Pelodiscus sinensis: one gene and its partner. The protein of the gene in region 2 interacts with the protein of the main gene of each other region in a biochemical or structural test. Links are inferred from orthologs where the notes say so. Each region holds a gene or a part of one and is shown on either strand. Other genes may lie near its edges.

Region 1 (10,904 bases), on a different chromosome or scaffold from region 2:
ACAGCTGTCCACAGAATTCCCCTGCTTCTGATTGCAAAGAGCTGCCCCTAAGCTTCACCACAGGATTAAGGATCAGGACGGTTTGAACCTCCCTATGCCTACTCTCCACCATCTATAATAGGTTGTCCAAGCGGCAGCAGTTTAGGAGAGAGGCTGTAACATCCATGCCAACATTTTCCACCGGAATTCATCACTAGAAGCAATACAATACAGCCACGGGGAAGCAAAGCCAGAATGTGCCTTGACAAAGAACGCTAATGGAAACAGCGTAGCAGCTGCTGAGGAGTCAAACACATGGCTGTGTCATAGCAACTAAGAGAATACATTTGGATGGGAAAAAAAAGCCATTTTCCAATTCACTCTCCTCCCCACTCTATGTTGACAACCAAGCTGTAAACATTATTTGGACAAACTCCAGAGCCAAGTAATCTACCACCCACATGACTCAGGGGCTGTTACCCAATACTGGGAAATCGACAGAAGGTGCTATTGTCTCATTCCCATAAATGCAAATCTCCACTCAAACTGAATTACTGACTAGCCACCCGACTGCAGACCAAGACACAGCCCCGCCCCCCTCCAGAACATCCAACCTCACTATTCAGTCCAGTGCCATGCAGCTCATCGATTCCTAGGGAATCGGCTATTCAGAAGTGCAGAGCACACCCGCTTTCAGTGGGCATTGCAGAAGGTACGCACACACAACGTCACACTCCAACCGTTCCCTTTCTTTGGAACACATCTTTCCTAAAAGGTGCTGCCTACCTCTTTGGTCAAGTCTCCATTCACTGGAGGAGCCACTGCTCCTAGGTCTTCCAATTCTTCACCAAATCCTTGCTCAGCTCCGCTCTCCCTCATGCCATTGTCAGGATTGGTCCCATCTTGCAGGCCACTGCCATTCTCAAGGGTGATGGCTGGGCTGGGCTGGGCATTGGACACAGAACCCTCCGGGTCTCTATGCACCAACCAGGCATTTACTTCGGTGGTGGGCACCTGGAACCTGTCCAGGGCCCTCACCTGGTTGAGGAGCCTGCGGGCTGTGAAGTAATAGTCCAGGTCTACACTTTTTGGATGGATGCCATATCCGTCCAAGGTGTTCCGCAGGTTGTGGAACTGCGTCTGGGTGTAAGCAGAGCTCTGGCCCAGAATGATTTCCCTCAGAGGGGGAAGCTGCGAGTTCAGGTAGGTATCCACGTCCACACGAACACCTATCAAGCTGAGTAGAATGGTGAATTGAATGAGCCCTTCAGTGAAATATTTCTTCAGAGAAAGCATTTCTGGAAGAGGAAAAAAAACAAACATGGGTGGGGAAACACAGCAAAAACCGAGAGCTCAAAGTATCCTCATTCACCAAGAGGGAAAGTTTTAGAAAAATTCAAAGCTTCAGTTTTAGGTTCTCTTTTTTAATCCCCCAATTGTTCCAAAATCAGGTTACTCGGGAGAGCCAAATTACCTATCTACACTCTCCAGAGGAAAGAACTTATACCCCAGTAAACAAAGTCCCTCTCCAGCACGCTCCCCTCCTCTTCAGAGCTATTGCTGTTTGATAACAGTCCACGAGGTTACATATAAACCCATGTGACTTACTGTCTCAAAAGTCCACATGCAGTCACTTCCTCTCGCCTTCCTGATTCACCACTCTGCTTCCAGAGCAGGGTGTGTTCTCTAGCACAAGTAGCTGCTGCTTCTCCCTCTCCTCTGGGTTTGAGAAGCTTCCTGAAGGAAGCTTGAAGAGTCAAAGATTTGGAGCAAGGAAGGGTTCAGCGACTCCTCCAGTCCTGGCTGTGGTTTCATCAGAAGCTGAAATAGAACCACAGAACAAACACGATAAGACGCTGACGAGACATCACCCTACACATTACACATGCAGTTGCTATACTGGGAAGCATCAGTTTCACCGCTGTATATAAGCCATGTACAAAATAAAATCGACTGCCCTCCAAAGAATGGCTTGCTGATGAAATATCCACAAAACAGGGGCTATCTTTTGAGTTAATGTTGTACGAGTTCCCCTCTCTGCTCTATTCTTAGGCTGGTGCGTCAGCTTCCACTCTCTGAAGCAGGAATTCAGCTCTGACTCCCTTTCACTCCAGTTTTCAGTGAGCTTCCAATCAGGGCTTTATGCAGCAAATAAGCGGCCGTGACCACTGCACAAGCAAATGTAAGCAACCCCAGGGCTCGCTACCTGCCTATGCAGTCCTTTCTCCTCTGCCTGCCACCACTCACAAAGGAGCTTTAAAGAAACAAAACAAAACATGCTTATGATGCATTTATTCCACAATGTGACCTTCCTGGGCAATTCACCACACACCAAGCGTCCCAATTGAGGAGAGTGCAATTTTGCAGTGAAATTTACACCCCTCCTCCACCATCTGTTCTTTCAAACACCTGTCCCACTTCAATGTATTTTGAGGATGTCACAGGGTACATCCCTATTTTTCACCTCCACCCAGTGTCCCTGTTTTTTTATAGGTTTCAAAGGTTGCCAGGTGTGGACTCAACAGCTTCTGAGCACTGTTTGTGGATGGATTTCTGTTCTCAAACTCCCAATATTGGCAAGAGTGGGAGGAGTGTTTAAAGTAACCCCTAATCCCCAAATCTCAGCTGTCCCTTCTGTTGTTATCCGCAACTAAGTAACCCCTCAAAGCAAAACAAGCACAATTTCAATTCCTTCCCGCCTACCTCATTTGTTAAGAGTCAACCAATACTTAGGTTGGGCAGAATTCTTCTTTTACAATTTCAACATCAATTGTATTTTTAGCATTTTTTTCAATTTTTAATCATTTAAATTTTTACAGTTATGGAAAATTATGCAGGCCAGATAATTATTTAATGACAGTGGAAGTTGAGATTCAAAACAAAGTTAATGCTTAATAAACATTAAAACCCAAATTATCAACATCACATGCCAAAATATGCAAAGTCAATATCCTTAAATCAAAGTAATACATTTTCACAAACTGTCTGTTGATTATCATTGATGGAAATATTTTCTCATCAGTTTGTGTGTATACAGAAAACTCAATATGTACTGATGTTCATGGATAAAAATCTACTTCTAACGAGCCTACATATAATTACAGACCAATTTTCTAATTTATCAACTCTCTCACTTGTCAGATCTCAATTAATCCAGCAGCCAAACTATTTCCTTTTGTACTGGGAAACTTTTTATGATGTAGTCACTCAGAAATTGAAAGGAACAAGGAGTCCCTGCCCACCAAGTTTTAGATTCCTCCCAAACCTTTAATTCCAGCATCTAGATCACTGTGCTTTTCATTTCCTCAAACAATTTGATCCTCTCTACATCTTCCCAAAGAGCACCCCAATCCTCATGGGAACAACAGGAATTCCCCCAGTGCTGAACACTACTGCAAAATGCATGAGAAGATAGGGGGCTGCCCGCTATTATTTAAATAGCACAATGGGGTGCCAGTTGCTAAAAACCCATCCACTGTACAGTCTGTTAAGTCCCTTTCGTCCCATCCACCCCAAAAATATCACTGCTTAAATTCTATTCTACTGTACATCATGTCCTGCATGCCCCTTAATCTCCTACACTCTCTAATTCACCTCCCACCCGTTGTCTGAACCCCAAGACAACCCCGTCCCTCAAACCCATTAGGGTAAACACCCTCCCTCGCACTTCCCATTTGGAATCTATGGGGTGGAAGGGAACTTCCCCCCCAACACTATTCTTGGGCTTTCAATCCTCCTCCCTAAACCTTTTACCCACATTTCACAGGAGATGTGAACCAGCAGAGGGGTGGGTAGAGGAGAATCTTCCTATAGCCCCCCAAATGCTAGTCTCCCCTTAAGCTCCAATTTTCCCATATGCACACACACTCAAATACATACCTCCCACCTGTCTTCACCCCAACTCTCCCTTACCCCCAGCTACCCACTACACCCGGCTCCCTCCTCCCCCCACCCCTCACTTCCTCTTCAACCTCACCCTGCACTTATCCCTGCCTCCCCCACTCTGCTCCCCTCCCCCCGCCTAGCCCCCCACTCTGCCCCCCTCCCCCCGCCTAGCCCCCCACTCTGCCCCCCTCCCAGCCCCCCTCCCCCCGCCTAGCCCCCCACTCTGCTCCCCTCCCCCCGCCTAGCCCCCTGCCCCCGCCTAGCCCCCCACTCTGCTCCCCTCCCCCCACTCTGCCCCTCCCCCCGCCTAGCCCCCCACTCTGCTCCCCACCCCCCGCCTAGCCCCCCACTCTGCTCCCCTCCCCCCGCCTAGCCCCCCACTCTGCTCCCCTCCCCCCACTCTGCCCCTCCCCCCGCCTAGCCCCCCCCACTCTGCCCCCCTCCCCCCACTCTACCCCTCCCCCCGCCTAGCCCCCCCACTCTGCCCCTCCCCGCTCCCCTGTCTCTCCCTCTCCCCCCTCTCAGCGCCCGGTCTCTCTCCGGTACCCGCTCCGCGCGCTCCTCAGCCACGAGGCTTCCGGCCCCGCAGGCAGCCACCGCCGGCCGGCCGGCCCCACACGCTCAGCTCCAACAGCCTCTTCCCTGCACCGCGGGCCTGAGCCCGCCCCCGTGCGGCATCCCGCCAATCCGCCGCCGAGGACAGTGGAACTGACAGGTCGGTCGCCAAATCACCGGGCGAGGCGTTCCGCCCGCCCTCAGGGGCTGGAGAGTGGCAACTGAGCTACCCAATCGGAAAGCAGCAAGCCCAGCCCACCCCGCCCGCTCCCAAAGCCGCTTCAGTGACGGAGCGCGGCGCCAATTAGACAGAGAACAACAGCGAGCTCGCGTCAGAGTGAGTGACGGCAAGGCCGGCCAATCGCGATAGCGGATCTCGCCGCTCCGCAGACGCACACGTACGCCCGCCCCCCGGCAGCTTGAATGACGGCATCAGTGACCAATCACCTTCTGCGGATCCACTACGACGCCTTTCCCATGCTGTTGCCATGGCGATTCCCGGCTCCCTCCGGCCTACGCCCTAGAAGCCCGGCCTGGAGAGAGTGTAGGCTCGACCCGGCCATCAGGCACCAGTGCCTGGCCCCCTGTTGGAGCCCTCTTGTGACACCATTCGGCCAGGCCACTGGGGGGCCTTGAAACCACCAACTACCACCCGGGGCCCTCGAAACCGCCAATTACTACCCTGGGGGCCTGGAAACCGCCAATTACCACCCCAGGGCCCTCGAAACCCCCAGTTACTACCCTAGGGGCCTGGAAACCGCCAATTACCACCCCAGGGCCCTCGAAACCGCCAATTACTACCCTGGGGGCCTGGAAACTGCCAGTTACTACCCTAGGAGCCTGGAAACCCCCAGTTACTACCCTAGGGGCCTGGAAACTGCCAGTTACTACCCTAGGAGCCTGGAAACCCCCAGTTACTACCCTGGGGGCCTGGAAACTGCCAGTTACTACCCTAGGAGCCTGGAAACCGCCAACTGCCATCTTGGGGACCTCGAAACCGCCAACTACTACCCTGGGTGCCTCAAAACTGCCAGCTTTCATCTCGGGGCCGTAAATACCGCCAACTACCACCCCAGAGGCCTCGAAACTGCCCCTCCCCAGAGGCCTTAATACGGCCAACTACAGTGAGAGCCAATGGCAGAGCTGGAAATAGAACTGAGGAATCGGGTCCGCCAGCGTTGTGCTTTCACCCCTGGCCCATCATTCGTCATCACAGGGGCTAATCGCTCATTTCTAAGGTCCTTAATCGAGTGCCAAGGTTACTCGCCTGACCGTTTTTTGTCCTGTGCCTTTGCTAACTGTCTTGCGTTTTCGACAAGGCGCCCTTAGCTCGAGGGCCTTTTCCATGGAACCTTCTGCTTTAGGAGGTAGGACTGAAACTCCCAGCGGCAGTTTTCAGATCTCACCCTTAAGTCCTGCAGGTGCCTCAGATGAGTCTTCATCCTAGCACCCCGGGCTGCTTGTGCGTGGATCTCCGAGCACCTCACCGGCAGCACTGCTCTGCTCTCTCTTCTGCTTGTGGAGAAAGGGGAAGCGACTGGCGGGAGGTCGTGCAGCGGAGCGGGCCAGCGAGTGAGCACCATCCTGTTGCTCTCTCCATTGGGTCCCTAGTACAGGACCTTTAATGTCCCCTCTTTCCATTTGCCCCCATGGCTGCCAGGGAGTCTGGGGTGCTGCGTATCAGTGGGTCCAATGTGATTATTGACCATTGGATTGTTCCGTCAGTACCCAAGTGCCTCTCGCCAGGGATGTGAAAGGTTAACTGGTTAACCCGTAAGCACTGCCCTTAATGGGTGACAGCTACAATTCAGGTTAACCAGTGGGGCTAGAGCAGCTCGGCACTTGCTGCAGGCAGGATCCATTGAAGGCAGGGGGCTGCTCTGGCCAGGCTGAAGCTGCCCCTGCTTATGGTGGGGGGGGGGGGGTCGCCACTCCAGCCTGGCCGCAGTGGGCGGGGGAGCTGCTGTAGCCTAGCCAGGCTAGAGGGGACCCCCGCCCGGCCCCCGGTTACTTGGCTAAACATCACCTCTAACCGGTTAACGAATTACACAGGAGTTCACGTCTCTGCTTTCTGCTGATGGATTCTCTGTGAGTTATTTCAATAAACAAGCAGCCCGGAGCAGGAGTGTCTCAAATCACCCATCTCAGCCGGTTCTTTGTATCTTTCCCAATTGATCCCCGTTATGAGAGCTGGGCTCCTTGCCTGGCTCAATCCTACTTGCCATCCTGGCCGTGGGGCTGTGCCCCCAGGGTCCGTCCCATGGATAGGCCTGTTCCCAGTCAATCTCCATGTTGCTTTAGCACCAGTGATCTTTGAGCCACGGACCAGGGCACGAGATGCACATTGGCAGGCAAGCATCCCGCTGGGGCAGGGGCAAAAGGGGACTCAGAGCCCAGCTTCTGTGGCCAGGCCGCCAGCAGAGATGTCCCTTTTGGAAACGGCGTTTTCTGAAGCGCACAGCTACGAGCGGGGCTCCGCCCACTAACCGGCTTCGCCTCGGCCTCCGCGGGGCACTGCCCACCTGGGCTGGATTTCATCTTGGCAGGGCAAAGGGGCTTCACCCTGCTGCCCTGAGCCATGTGCAAAGTAGGATGATCCGGCTCCCGAGGGGACTGTGGAATCCGTGGAGGTTTTTACCAACAGGCCGGACAAGCACCGGTCCGGCAGCATTCCCTGTAAGCCGAGTACTTGGACTGCTGCCCAGGAGGGATTCAAATCCCACTCAGCTACTTGGCAGAGCACCCACAGCCGACAGCGTGTGTGTGTATTGGTGGTGCACATCCACACTTGCCTTCGTGCACATGGCAAAATGTATTCCGCACACTGGATGGAAAAAACGTAGAAGGAACGTTGTCATCGGGGATTGACTAGCGTACTTGGTCTCGCCTCCGCGTGGGAGCTAGACGAGACGACCTCTTGAGGTCCCTTCCAACCTTACATTTCTGTGAGGATTTGGCTTGACTCCCTCGGGAGTTGTCTTACCCCGGCTGTGGAAAACGGCCCTCTGCCAAGGAGGGGAAGGATGAAAGAGATTCACAAAGTGTTCGAGAACCAGTCTGAGCCATGGGAGACACGTTGGAGCAGCCTGCTAGACTTCCCGAATCCATTCCAATAGACTGGAGCGCCTCTTTGCGAAAAGCCTCCGAGCGCTTCAGTGCCCGGTTCCACGTGCCCTTTAAAAGGGAACTTTCCCAGCCATTGTCTGAAGCTGGGTGGCTCACAGAGGGTGGATCCATCAGGAAGCTAAGGCATTTAGCAGCACCACCCCGCTAGCTGCTATTTATACAAGACGGCACAGAGCAGGAACAGCTGCCTTAATCAAACCTCAGCCCATGCTCTGGGGCATTCCCAGCCTGGCAGACAATGGGATGTTTGAGCATAGGAGGTGGTGCTGTATGACTCTGAAGCCTAATGAGATTGTGTTATGTTGCGGAGCCTCGCTAGCAACTAGGAGTGTAAGCGACTAATCAACTAGTCGACTGTCCAATAAGCAAAACCTTAGCCAAGAGTCAACACACTAGTCAACTAGTCGCTTCCCCCACCCCCCCGACCGCTGCCTCTATGAGAAAAAGGCAGTGGGGGAGGGGGGGAAGAAGGGGGTAGTGAGGGGAGCTGGCCTAAAAGCTGGTTCCCCCCCTGCTCCAGCTCAGTGGGAGGGGGCAGGGGCGCGGTGTCGTTCTGCCTTTGAAATGTACGAGAGAGTCCCAGCAGAAGCTCTTGTGCATTTCAAAGATAGAAATGCAGCCTGGAACCGGGGACCAGCGGGGAGTCCCCGGCTGACTCTGGGCTCCCTGCGGTGCTTCAGTCTTTGAAATCCACATGAACCTCTGCTGGGCCCTCGTACACGTCAGTGGCACAACAGCCAGGCGGGCGCTTGCTACATTTCAAAGCGGAAGCGCCCTCAGCAACTAGTCGATAGAAATCCCATCCACTGTTCCGTTAGTTGATTCATCTAATGTTACCGTCCCTACGAGCAGCACAGACGGCAGAGAATACTAGGACTGGAAGGGACCTCGAGAGGCCATTGAGTCCAGTCCCCTGCCCTAAAACTTTTGAAGGGGGCACCTGGATTTGAACTGGGGAACCGCTTGAGCTGTAGTTAAATGCTCTACCACTGAGCTATACCCTCTGATGATTAGCAGCCTCATCTGTCCCAGGGCTTGCATCCCAAAGGGATCAGTGCCTGGGTACTCCCTGGCTAGACAGGCAGCTGCTCTTGAGAGCGGACAAGTCAGGATCCTTGTGGCTATGGAGGTGCCAAGAAAGGAAACCCAGAGGAAGCACCTAGAAAGCTCTGAGCTGCCCCTCCCCCCGGAAAGTTCCCAGCTGCATGTCGAGGTCAAGTCAGGTCGGAGTTTGTTCTGCAAAGGCCAGAGCCACTGTGCAGGTGCAGCCCCCTCCTCTCAGCATCTGATGGGGAACAAGGTTCCCCAAGCCCGGGTGTGGCCTTCCCCCCCTCTGCAGCCCGATGGGGTAATAACAGCCTGAAATACCAAGCACAGCCAGTAAGGCGGCGGGGGGGAACAGTTTTAGGAGTGAGGGGTGCTGACATCCTCCCCTTTCCTCTGGCTTCCCCCCACCCAGCTGAGGCTGGGAGCAAAGCCCTGGTGTGGGGGGCCAGCAGCTAGGACCCCAGGCGCACGGGGCAGCAGCTGGGATCCTGAGTACGGAGCCAGCAGCAGAGAGCAGGGCAGCAGCTGGGTCCCCAGCAGAGTCCCAGCAGCTGGGCCCCGAGGTGCTAGGCCAGGAGCCCTGGGGTGTTGCAGCACCTAATGAGGGTCCAGGTGGTCTGATCTAGGCCCTGATTCACCATCACTCTGCCCCGTGGGCAGGCATTTACACCAGTGCAAAGCGTGCGCATAGCTGTAGAGACCGCCGCTCTGTCCTGTCAATTTCACCAGGGAACCCCACCACAAACATGCAGAAACCTCTACACGGTGTCAATTTCTCAGTTCAATAGGATGTTTCATTGACACATTTGCTTCCCTTTTATTTTAAAAACCTTTAACATGTAGAAATCCAGACGAAATGTTTTTGTGATGTAATGAAATGTTTCATTTGGCCCAACCCCCCCCCCAACTTTTCAATTCACCCAACATTTCAAACTCTTTTGTTTGTGGCTCAACTCCAAAAGATTTTTTTGTTAAATACCAGCAAACCCGCCCTCCCCATCCTCACGCTGCCTGGCCTTACAAATGGGTGCAGAGAAGTGAACGTTATAATTATTTTGCCCACTAGGAGCACGGGAAATACTGGGCCAGATTTTGTCCCTTGCCCTGTCTTCTTTGTGCTCTCGGGGGGGGGGGGGGGGGTGCCACAAAGGAACCCGGGAGGGGGAACTTGGCCAGGAAACACCGTGCTCCAGCTGTCTCTGGTTGGTAAATAACCCCTCTGGTATCCACAGCCAGCCATTATAAATTAGAGCAGCCGTCAGGGGGTTCATATTGTAGCAAACTTCACTCTCTGACCCCAGCGGGGCTGGTGCAGCCCAGAGGCGCGGCGTCCCCTCTGGTGGAGGCTGCTAACTGGCAAAGGGTTTAACAATGAAGCCCCGATAATGATTTTTGTCTCCAGAGAGACGACCGCGGCCTCCCAATGTTACAAGCCTCTTAGCGGTGAGGATTTCACCCCAAGCGCCCGTCTGCACCCGGCCTCCATCCCAGACTCGCACCTGCTCAATACCAAGGAAGCGTGCGGTGCGGCCCTCCACCGCTTACCAAACCCTTGGAGCCCCCCCCCCCCATCAAAAATTACTGCTCACCCCTGGATCATCGGGTGCTTAGGTCCTGCAGGGTTCCCGAGCTTGGTTTGGCTGGAGCTCAGTTATTACCCACTTCTAGGAGTTCAGAGGAGCTGGGCTTTTTTCAGACTAACCCCAGGCAGGGGCATCCAGCCCCCCTTCAGGTAACCAAACTGGGAGGGTTTGGCTTTTGTTGACATGCAAAAGCCTCCAAAAGTGAAAAGTGATCAAACCGGTTTCCTGCCTCCCATTGTCAACATTTCTTGACCACATTCTAGCTCCCTGTGGAGAAACAGAGCAAAGCATTGTGGGGGAGCATCCCACAGGGCAGTGCTGTGGGAAGGCAGAGCGGATCCTCCTCCCCCGCTGCTTCTTGGGATTCCCTAGGAGCTCTGCATGCTGAGGAATCCGCCTCTCCAGCCCTCCCCCTGCAGCAGCAGCCAGCCTGCTGCTCTGCTTCTAGCAGGGCAGAAAAGGAGCATCCCAATGATTTGCTCTTGGTTTGTTCCCCAAACGGAGCCGCTCACTCCACTGCCAGACACTTCCCCGAGTGTTGAAAGGGATGGGGCGCATGCCTGCAGGGCAGCAGAGATCCCAAAACACTGAGTAGCCATCAGGGCAGGCATGATGGGCTACTGACAGAAGCCAGTTCTCTCCACAAAACAAACTGCAGAGTCCACACTGGCTCTGTGTCGACAGTAAAGGGAGGGGAAAAGAGAAAAGTTTCTCAAAGGGACTCAAGTT
Region 2 (10,772 bases):
ATGGGACGATATGAGGTTCCCAGGGGAGTGTGGAGAGTGAGACTGCCCCACGCCCATCCTGGAGCATCTCCGTCCCACGGGGCTGGGCCTGCCTCCCTGCACCAGCCCAGTGTCTCTTGCCACAGCATCCCATGATACATCTCTGTGAATGGGGGGGGGGGCGGTTTCCCCTCACAACAGTGCCCCGTTCCTGGCACTGGTGGGGATCACCTGTACTGAGCTGGGCTGCCCCTTGCCCATCATCCCTGCCAGTGGTGATCGAAGTAGGCAGTCGGGCTCTGCAATGCTGGATGATCCCCCTCTTCCCCAGGCTCTCACCAGCAGGGCAAGATGTGTGGTGTGACTGCCCTCCAGGGGCAGCTTGGTCCAGGAGGTGCCCAGGCCAGAGTGTGGCCCCAGGTAGCTGTGAAACCTATGTCAGGTTGGGGGCCACCGGACAGCATATGCCTAGCTCCTCCCACATTCCTGGCAAGGGAAACCCCTGTGCTTGGCTGCCTCCCACTTCCCTGCCTTCTGGGGGGGGGGGGGGGGGTAAGCAGCCAATCAGCATGTCTGTGAGGAACTGCCCCAGATTGAAGTGTCAGATCAAACACTAAGAAGTCCCCAAGCCCAGATGGTATTCACCCAGGAGTTCTGAAGGAACTTGGATAGGAAATTGTGGGAACACTGTGTGTGGTGTGTAACTTACTGCTTAAACCAGCCTTTGTACCAGATGACTGGAGGATCGCTAATGGGACACCCATTGTTTAAAAAGCCTGCTCCAATAGGCTTTGCAATCACAGGCTGGTAAACCTAATATCAGTACCAGTTGGATTGCTGAAATTTAAAGAAAAACAAAACCTCCAGAATTATCAGACACATAGATGAACATGCTATGATGAGGAAGAGTCAATACAACTTTTCTAAAAGGAAATCAGACCTCACCAATCTATTAGAACTCTAGGAGGGGTTCAACAAATATGTAGACAAGGCAGATCCAGTGGATGAAGTACAGGCAGTCCCCGGGTTACGTACAAGATAGGGACTGTAGGTTTGTTCTTAAGTTGAATCTGTATGTAAGTTGGAACTGGCGTCCAGATTCAGCCGCTGCTGAAACTGACCAGCGGCTGACTACAGGAAGCCCGAGGCAGAGTTGCTCTGCCCCGGGCTTCCTGGAATCAGCCGCTGATCAGTTTCAACAGACTGAATCTGGACGCCAGTTCCGACTTACATACAGATTCAACTTAAGAACCCCAGGAGTCCCCAAGTCAGCTGCTGCTGAAACTGATCAGCGGCTGATTCCAGGAAGCCCAGGGCAGAGCAACTCTGCCTCTGGCTTCCTGTAGTCAGCGCTGGTCAGTTTCAGCAGCGGCTGACTTGGGGACACCTGGGGCAGAGCAGCTGGGGTGCTGCCGGGTTGGTCCAGTAGCGCCCAGAGCAGCACTGCGGGACCAACCGGCAGTGTCCCAGCTGCTCTGCCCCAGGCGTCCTGATTCAGCCGCTGCTGGGGAATCAGGATGCCTGGGGCAGAGCAACTGGGGTGCTGCTGGGTTGGTCCAGTAGTGCCTAGAGCAGCACTGCGGGACCAACCAGCAGCGCCCCAGCTGCTCTACCACAGGCGTCTGGAGAAAAGCCTGGTCTGCTGGGGGTGGGGGGTGCACTAGCTGCGCCCACCCCCCAGCAGACCAGGAAGACGCGGGCAGCGGACCGAGATGCACCGTGGTCCCGCCGTCCGGGTCCTCCGTGGCTTTGCTCCGTGTCTCCCTGGTCTGCTGGAGACCAGCAGACCAGGGAGACGGGGAGTAAAGCCTTGGAGGACGCTGGCAGCGGGACAGCCACCAGCAGACCAGGGAGACGTGGAGCAGCTTTTCTCGCCCTGGAGGACGCGGGCGGCGGGACCGTGGCGCATCTGGGCATCCCGCCACTTCCATCCTCCAGGGCGAGAAAAACATAAGTCGGATCCGCGTAACTCGGGGACTGCATGTATACCTAGACTTTCAGAAAGCCTTTGACATGGTCCCACATCAAAGGCTCTTAAGGAAACTAAGCAGTCATGGGATAAGAGGGAACATGCTTATGGATCAGTAACTGGTTACAAGGTAGAGAACAATGGTCAGTTTTCAGAATGGAGAAACTAGTGGTGTCTCCCAGGATGGGGCCCAATCTTAGTCAACATATTCATAAATTATCTGCAAAAAAAGATAAATAGTGATCTGGCAAAATATGCAGTTAAGACAAAAACTTCTTGAGATAGTTCAGTTCAAAGCTGACTGGGAAGTCTTACAAAGGAGTTTCACTGTACTGGATGATTGGGCAACCAGATAGCAGAGGACATTAATTGTTGATAAGTACGAAGTAATGCACATTGGAAAATATAATCCCAAAGAGAATACGTACAATATGACAGTCTAAATTAACTGGAGCCATTCAAGAAAGAGATCTTGAAGTCATTGTGGATAGTTCTCGGAAAAAACATCTTCTCAGTGTACAACAGTGGTCAAAAGAAAGCCAACACAATATTAGGAAATATTACAAAAGGGAAATATAATAAGATACAAAATATCTTTTGTATACAAGAACAAGGAGCAATGGTCTCAAGTTACAGTGGGGGAGATCTAGGTTCTTCTTCACACAGCGTGTTGTCAACCTGTGGAACTCCTTGCCAGAGGAGGCTGTGAAGGCTAGGACTATAATAGAGTTTAAAGAGAAGCTGGATAAATTCATGGAGGTTAGGTCCATAAAAGGCTATTAGCCAGGGGATAAAATGATGTCCTTGGCCTCTGTTTGTCAGAGGCTGGAGAGGGATGGCAGGAGACAAATCGCTTGATCATTGTCTTCGGTCCACCCTCTCTGGGGCACCTGGTGTTGGCCACTGTCGGTAGACAGGATACTGGGCTAGATGGACCTTTGGTCTGACCCAGTACGGCCGGTCTTATGTTCTTATGTTGTATAGTAGGAAAAACTATTTCCCTGGGAGGAGAGTGAAGCACTGGAATGGGTTCCCTAGGGAGGGGGTAGAATCTCCATCCGTAACTGTTTTAAGTCCCGACTTGACAAAGTCCTGGCTGGGCTGATTTAGTTGGGTTGGTCCTGCTTTGGGCAGGGGGCTGGACTCGATGGCCTCCTGAGGTCTCTTCCAGCCCTAGGATTCTATAATCACATGGTCTCTAAATAAATCCATGGTGCACCATACAGATGTGCATTAGATACAATAGAACTGGCAAAGGTTCAGAAAAGGGCAACACAATTTATTCGGGCTTTGGAATAGCTTCCATATGAGAAGCAATTAATAAGACTGGGACTAATCGGGTGGGAAAAGAGATGACTGGAAGGGACATGATAATGTATAAAATCATGACAGGTGTGGAGAACATAACTAAAGTGCTTATTTGCTCCTTCACAAAACACAAGAAACAAGGATCACACAACAAAAAGTATTTAACGCAAGACAACTTGTGGAACTTGTTGCTGGGAATGTTGCAAATGGCAAAATAATAACAGTCTTTCAAAAGGAATTAGGTAAGTTCACAGATACATTAGAAACCAGGAGAATGTGGGCGAGGTCCATGGGTGGCTATTAACAACGGTAGCCAGGGATACAAGCCTATGTTTCAGGTGTCCCTAACCTCTGCTGCCAAAAGCTGGAAGTGCATGACAGGCAAGGATTACTCTGCTCACCCCCCTCACGCACCTGGCACTGGTCACTGTCCATAGCCCGGCTGCTGGCCCACGCTCGCCTGGTTTCTTCGCTGACCATTCTTATTACCTGTCCACCTTGAACATACACTCTTCAGCCTTAGTTCATCTTTGGGGTTTCTTCCATGTGCCTCTGTCTACATTCTGCTTGCCTGCCATTCTCCTTAGGACAGTATTTCCTGCCAGCTCTATCTTCTTCTCCTTCAGCTCTATCAGACCCAGGCGAAGACAAACACGCAGAACATGCACTTTTCCTTTCACTTTGCACATTGCACAATACACTTGCCACCTTTTTTGCTGCAGCACAGGGGGCTCTTCTACATTCTCTAGGTCTGGCTATCATGTCACTAAGTGTACAATGCAGATCTTTCCTTCTAGCTTGGTGTCTCTCCTGCAACTTCAGTCAAGATTTCTTCTTCCGACTTCTGCACGTGTGCAATGCAGTGTTCTTTGTCAACAAGTGCAGTCCTGTGGCACCTTAGAGCAGGGCCGGCTCGAGCCATTCCTGTGCCCTGGGCAGCAGGCGTACGATGCATGTGCAGCTCCATCCCCGGGCACATGGCACATGCACAGCCCTGCCCCCCGGCACGCTGCGCACCTTACAGCAGCAATTGGGCTCGCGGAGCCTGATGGCAGCTTTAAGGGGCACGGCCTCTGGCCCTGGGTGTGTGGTGCCCCCCATAGGTTAGTGCCCTGGGCAGCTGCCCAGCTAGCTCCCCCCCTTAATCCGGCCCTGCCTTAGAGACTAACAAATGTATCAGACCACAAGCTGGGTGGGACAAAACCCACTTCATCTGGTGAGTTGGAGTGGAAATAGCAGAATCCAGAATACAGTAATTACTTGTTTAACATGTGCCCGCTTAACTCGTTTTCGCAATAGCACGATTTTTTTGGGGACCTTTTTTCAAATAACATGACCGTCCCCGAAATAACACAAAAATAATCAAGTAGCAGACTACTTCACGCAGCAATATAAGTTGGTGAAAACAGTGGTAATATGCAGGGCTCGCCAGCCGTGTGGTTCTGCACTCTGCGCATGCGCAGATCACTCTGCACTGGCTCTTCCGGGTTGTAATCTACTCGCCATGGGTGAGTAGATTACATTATTTGTAGCCCTGGTAATATGCTTGAGCAGATGAATACACGTGATCACAGTGCTTCTCCGCTCACTCGTGTTTATCTTTGTGTTTTAACAAACCAGGCGACTTGTGGTGCTAGATACCTAGTGCTGACGTTGCCGACCCAGCACCAACAAAAAATTGACTTTGCCACCACCACCTGAAATGCAACCCCCACCTTTTCCATTCTTTTTAATGGGAAAATTGACTCCATAGCACATTTTTGCTCAGCATGAACATTTTCAGAAACAGTGTTTAGTGTTTAATGAGGAATTACTGTAAGCAGAACCCACCTGTCAAGCGCAGGACCCAAGCTAATGATGCTAATTGGATCATAGAATCATAGGCCTGGAAGGGACCTCGAGAGGCCACTAACCTGTTCTGAAATATCTCCAGAGAGGGAGATTCCACCAGCTCCCGGTGGGGGGGGGTGTGTGACTGAGTCCCCCGTCACGGTGTAACTGCAGCTAGCAAGGCCGGGCCCCCTGGGCTGTGTGTGCTGCCCCCCCCGCTGCAGCTCTGAGCTGGGGGGCAGCGCAGGCCCCGCCTCCCGGCTCCCACCTAAGCCGGGCCCCGCCCCCGGCCCGGACACGCAGCGACCCCGCCCAGCTGCCTCGAGCCGCGTGCCCCCTTATGCGCCACGTGGGGCGGCCCGGCTCAGCTGCTCCCGCGCACGCTGCCCGCAGCACGTGGCCAGGCGAGCCGAGCCCCGCCCCGCCCCCTTCCCTTTAAGGCCCCGCCTGCCCCTTGTCTTTTTTTTACCCCGACACTAATGGCCGCAGCCTCCTTCCCTTTAAGGCTCGGGGCGGTTGCGCCGGGCGCTTCATGAATGGAGCCACGTGACCCAAACATCACGTGACGTGTCCGTGAGCGGCGGCGGGTGGCGGCGGATCTCGGAGTCTCGGTCCCTCCCAGCCCCGGCCCCGGCCGCACCGTGAGGCGGGTGAGCGCGCGGCGGGGCCCGGGCCATGGGGGGGGCAGGGACCCCCCCCCGCCTTTCCGGGGGCCCCCGCTCTGCCCCGGGCCTTGGGGGGGGCAGGGACCCCCCCGCCTTTCCGGGGGCCCCCGCTCTGCCCCGGGCCTTGGGGGGGGCAGGGACCCCCCCGCCTTTCCGGGGGCCCCCGCTCTGCCCCGGGCCTTGGGGGGGCAGGGACCCCCCCGCCTTTCCGGGGGCCCCCGCTCTGCCCCGGGCCTTGGGGGGGGGCAGAGGCCCCCCCGCCTTTCCGGGGGCCCCCGCTCTGCCCCGGGCCTGGGGGGGGCAGGGACCCCCCCGCCTTTCCGGGGACCCCCGCTCTGCCCCGGGCCTGGGGGGGGCAGGGACCCCCCCGCCTTTCCGGGGGCCCCCGCTCTGCCCCGGGCCTGGGGGGGGCAGGGACCCCCCCGCCTTTCCGGGGACCCCCGCTCTGCCCCGGGCCTGGGGGGGGCAGGGACCCCCCGCCTTTCCGGGGGGCGGGGGAGAGCGCCGGGAGCCCCCTCGGGAACGTGGGGGGGGAAGGAGGAGACCGCGGTGGGGAAGAGAGCGGGGCGCCCCCTTCCGTGGAAAACTGGGGGGGGGGAGAGTAGGGAGCCCCCCTTCCGGGGGGGAGCAAGCGGCGAGCCCCCCCTTCCCGGCTCGCTGGGGCGGACGCGTGATGCCTGCTCGCTGCTGTTGCCCCGCGCGATGCGCAGGCAGGTCGGGGGCCGCTGCGGGTCGCGCCGGGCGGGGGGTTCCGAGCTGCCGGTGCCTGCCCCGCGCCCCCCGCCCCGCGCCCCTTGTGCTTGCTGAGCAGACGCTGCTGACTCATCAGCATGAGGTCACCGGGTAGACGGTGCCAAGGGGGCGCTCGGCGGGAGGGAGGGAGGGACTCGTGGACCAGGGGCCGGCGTGTTGGTCGGTCCGTGTCTGCAAATGGATGGGGAGGGCGTCCGAGGCTGACACGCTGACTCATCGCCGAGGGGGGCGGTGTCATGGAGACAGGTCTCCCCTCGTGTGCGGCGCTGCCGGGAGGGGCTGCGGGCAGCAGGGCGAATGGGGGAGTTACAGACCGTAGGTTTGGGGGGTGAGGGGCGTAGAGACGGGCGGCTGTGCTGGGGGGGCATAGTGCGGATTCTGAGCACACTTCCAGGTCAGAACCAGCCCTGGGGCTGGGCTCCTGCTGTGAGACCAGCAGGCTGCTCTGGGTACCTCTCCCATGCTTGTGTGTACTTGGAACACCCTGTGCTCCTCTCCTGCCTCACTAGTGTTCCAGGTGATTCAGCTGCTAGGGCAGTAGTCTTCCCCTAGTCACCCGCAGGGCCCCAGAGCTACATATGCTCCTCATACCCCTAAATACAACTCTTTCAAGGGCTGGTCTGAGGGGGCTAGCATGCCCTTAATGTAAGCATAACGGGGAAAGCTGTGCTACAGATCTACTCAAAGTGCCCAGAAATCAACTAACCCCACCATTGTGGGACACCAGGGAGCCTTGGGTAATAGCCAAAAACTCTGTGTGCAACAAGTGCACCATCTCTCCCTGAGCAAGATTTCTGCTAAGGCTGAATGCTGAGGCCACAAGGCAGAAGAACAAAACAAGTGGGGTCAGGCCTGACACCTCTGGTAGCTATGCCCAGGGTCAGGGGTGCCTTTGCTTTACTAAAGGCCCTTGACCAGCTCTGTCAAGGGTGCATCTGAGTTTTACAATAACAGCCAATAATTGCTACAGAGTAATTTGAAGGATGTTTTGTGATTCTCCAGGACGTCTTGCCAAAGGCTTTAAAAGCACATGGCAGATACTTGCCTACTTCTAGGTGTATGTGCAGTGCCTATAGGAATTCAGGAATGGCCAGACTGGCTCAGGCCAGTGGTCTGTCTAGTCCAGTCTTTGACAGCAACCAGAACCAGTTGCTTTAGAGGAAAGTGTGAGAAATCCTTCAATGACCAGCTGTGGAATAAGTAGCCCACTGTGGTGTGTTCTCCTGCGCCTGACTGTAAGTGTAGACAAGTCCTAACTCCATTTGCGTGATCTTTAAAAACACATTGCCATAGAAACAGAGTTGACACAATGTCAGCCATTGTGTTAAGTTTCCCAGCCCACACACAACTTTTCTAAAGCTCCTACCTATCAAACCGAACCGTATAGTAGTAGCAAGACATTTATTCATAATGTCAGTTAGTACAAAACGTTAATGAATTAAGCTCCCAGCTACCAGGCAAGCAACCTCGCACTGCAGAAGTGGAAACACCCCCAAAGCCACACAGTAAGTGCAGAGCCAAGAGGAGGATTTGGGTGTTTTGCTTCCCAGTCCTGTGTTCAGAATGCTAGGTCACGCTTTCCAGTATCGGGGTGAACCCTCATGTTTGTTGCTTTGAGTGCAGTAGCCCCTAAAATGCACCAGGCACTTCCAAGCCCTGCAGAAGGCCTGTTTCCTGACCTAAACATGCTCAGAGTTTGAGGGAGCGGGGGAAGGGGAGGGAGAGGGAGGGACAGGAAGGGTCCAGATAAGCATGGTCTGTTATTCTGGTGGATGGTTTTATTACATGTATGGCCTCTGCCCCAAGTTATCCTACGTGTTGGGAATTTACTAGAATGTTAGTCTTTGCAGCATGTGCTCTCCCTCTTATCTGGGTGGTCAGCAAAGGTGCAGGCTCCTGCTGGCTCTCCCAGCTCCCCTGGCTGGGGTAGGTGTGTGTGAAGAGCTGCCTGTAGGATTCCTTTGGCTGTGAAGATGTACGCTGCAGGAGGACTCTGCTAGAGCCAACGAACCTGCGGTGTCCCACAGTCTGCTAGCCAGTAATTCCACTGCAATGGTATGGGGCTCTGAGCTGAGAGGTGATGGCTGGGCTTGCGTGAGGTGTCAGTGAGACCTGACAGGACTTTCTTCAGTCACCTCAGAGGCTGGACTGCTTTCGCTTTGGCCTGCCTGTGACCATAACTGCTAGAGAAAAGGACAAGCCAAGAAGCTGCATCCCTCCTGTCTTTCTCCTGAACATTTGCTTGTCTCTGTGCCCCAGGGACCCGACTTGGGCTGCTGTCTCCTGTTTTCACTTGGGGTGAAAGCTTCTGTGCTGGGGCAGCTGCTGCACATTGTGCCACTGGGGGAGAGTGCGTGTTTGTTCTGCATTGCTGTTGACATTTCCTTGGGGGAAGGGCTTAGCGGCACTGAGGCGCACTGCATCCTACAGTGGGGTCTAAGAACTGGACTTTGGGGGCTTTCCTGAGCCCGGCCAGTGGCCAGGTTTGAGGGAGAAGTGTGAAGCAAATGCTACTTATGGAAAGACGCGCTGCTGGCTGATGCTTAGTCCCCTGCCCAGAGCTTCAAAAAGGAGCTAGATAGATTCATGGAGGTCAGGTCCGTCAATGGCTACTAGCCAGGCTGGGTAGGAATGGGGTCCCTGGCCTCTGTTTCTCTGGAGGTGAGTGACGGGAGGAATCACGAGATGACCTGTTGTGATCCCTCCCTCTGGTGCATCTGGCATCGGCCACCGTGGGCAGGCAGGACACTGGGCGGGATGGACTATTGGTCTGACCCAGTCTGGCCATTCTTATGTTCTTAGCAAGGTTTGGAGGGGTTGAGGGGGTTTAGCTGCTTGCGGTGGGAGCAGAAAGTGCTACTGGAACCTTCCCTGTCAGGTTTCAGGGCAGACTGAGGGTCCTGCTTAGCGCGGAATTGCTCTCCCTCCTTGTGGCCTGGCATTTCCTCTCCTGGGAGACGGGCTTCTCAGGCGGCCGCTTATTCCATAAAGGTTTGCTGCTCGAAGCTGGGAAGGCCTCTGCTGTGCACTGTCTTGGGCCCCTTCCTCTTCCCCTTCGCAGCAGAGCTGTGCGTTCAGGAAGGGGCGAACGCGCTGGGCAAAGGAGTATCGGAGACTCGGCTCCGCTGTGTTCGCTACACTGCAGAGATGCTCTGGGCACTAGTTCGACGTGGGCTCATCTGCTGCAGCATGAGTGGGGGGTGATGTGAAGAAATGAGAAGTACAGTCTCCACTTCTGCTTGTCCAGTCAGAGCGAATATCCCAGCAGGGCCCTGCCTGCCTGTGGTCACACCCCTGGACAACTGTGGCTGCCAGTCCCCTGCAGAAGCCCTCACTGCGTCGCTCCGTCGACGTCCCTTGTGGATGGGCCTCCCCTGGCGGAGCTGTCTCCAGCTGGCTGCGCTGCTGGAAGGGGTGACGTCAGCGTGTTTACACTAGTTTGGTGGCACAGTTCTGTGAATCGGGAATGCTGAGAATGGGGCCTGTGTTGAATCATGCGTTCTGCTGTCAGCTCTGCTGTGCCGCTTTTAGCTGAGGAGAGAATTGGCTGTGCTAGTGCTGAGTTCAGGCCTTTGGAGTCCTGGGGAAATGTGTTGAGGCTGCATTTTCCCCTTGGAGCCGACGCGCTTGGCGCTCTTCCGGGTGATTGTTCTTCAGGAAGCCATTGAAAGGCCAAGACATTGGCAGTCTGGGACCTTGGACAAGCTTGTTCTGAGTGTCCTGTCAGTCTCCCCGCAGGCCTGCCTGGGGCCTTCCTGTCAGCCCTGGCAAGTGGCCAGCCAGCCTTCCCCCAGTCTCCGTGCCTGAGGATGGGCACCATGGCCCCTCTTGGGGGGGGGCGGACTCATCAGATGCTTTCAGCTGGACTCCTGTGCCCCGGCAGAGGCGCTGGGCTGCGCTGGAGGCCTGGCAGATCGGGTCCCTTCTGTTTGAACCGTTTAACTCAGACACAAGGAAGAGTTAACTGTTCTCAGCGGCTCCTTGGCACCTTTCCAAGCTGTTGCTCTTTCTCCCGCCCTCCCACCCGCAGTGCTTGGGAGCACCCAGCCACTGCCTCCCCCTCCCCTGGGTCCTTTCAGCTCCCACCTGCCCCTAACTCGTCTCAGGGTGACTCTCCGGCCTGGGACCAGTTGTCCAGGGATGTGAGATTTCGGGAGCTCAAGGGCCAGGAAGGATTATAGCACCTGTTCCTGGGCCCAGTGCGTTCAAACAGCCTGTCCGCCCGCGGGGATCCTCTGGGGTAGCAGGAAAGGGGCATGTGGAAACAC

Evidence for each region.
Region 1: the proteins of MAFG (region 2) and NFE2L1 form a complex in vitro, tested with the Homo sapiens proteins (2 studies listed by BioGRID and IntAct, with this or other methods). The link is inferred for Pelodiscus sinensis from reciprocal best matches to the Homo sapiens genes MAFG and NFE2L1.

Annotation. Positions count from the first base shown.
Region 1 is NC_134739.1:13,725,311-13,736,214, reverse strand, and holds the start of NFE2L1 (endoplasmic reticulum membrane sensor NFE2L1), read right to left. Parts: upstream 4,566-10,904; 5' UTR 4,411-4,565; intron 1,801-4,410; 5' UTR 1,588-1,800; intron 1,540-1,587; exon of another isoform or gene 1,454-1,539; intron 1,278-1,453; 5' UTR 1,276-1,277; coding exon 766-1,275; intron 1-765.
Region 2 is NC_134730.1:29,832,472-29,843,243, reverse strand, and holds the start of MAFG (transcription factor MafG), read left to right. Parts: upstream 1-5,569; 5' UTR 5,570-5,736; intron 5,737-10,772. UniProt on the Homo sapiens protein: Since they lack a putative transactivation domain, the small Mafs behave as transcriptional repressors when they dimerize among themselves.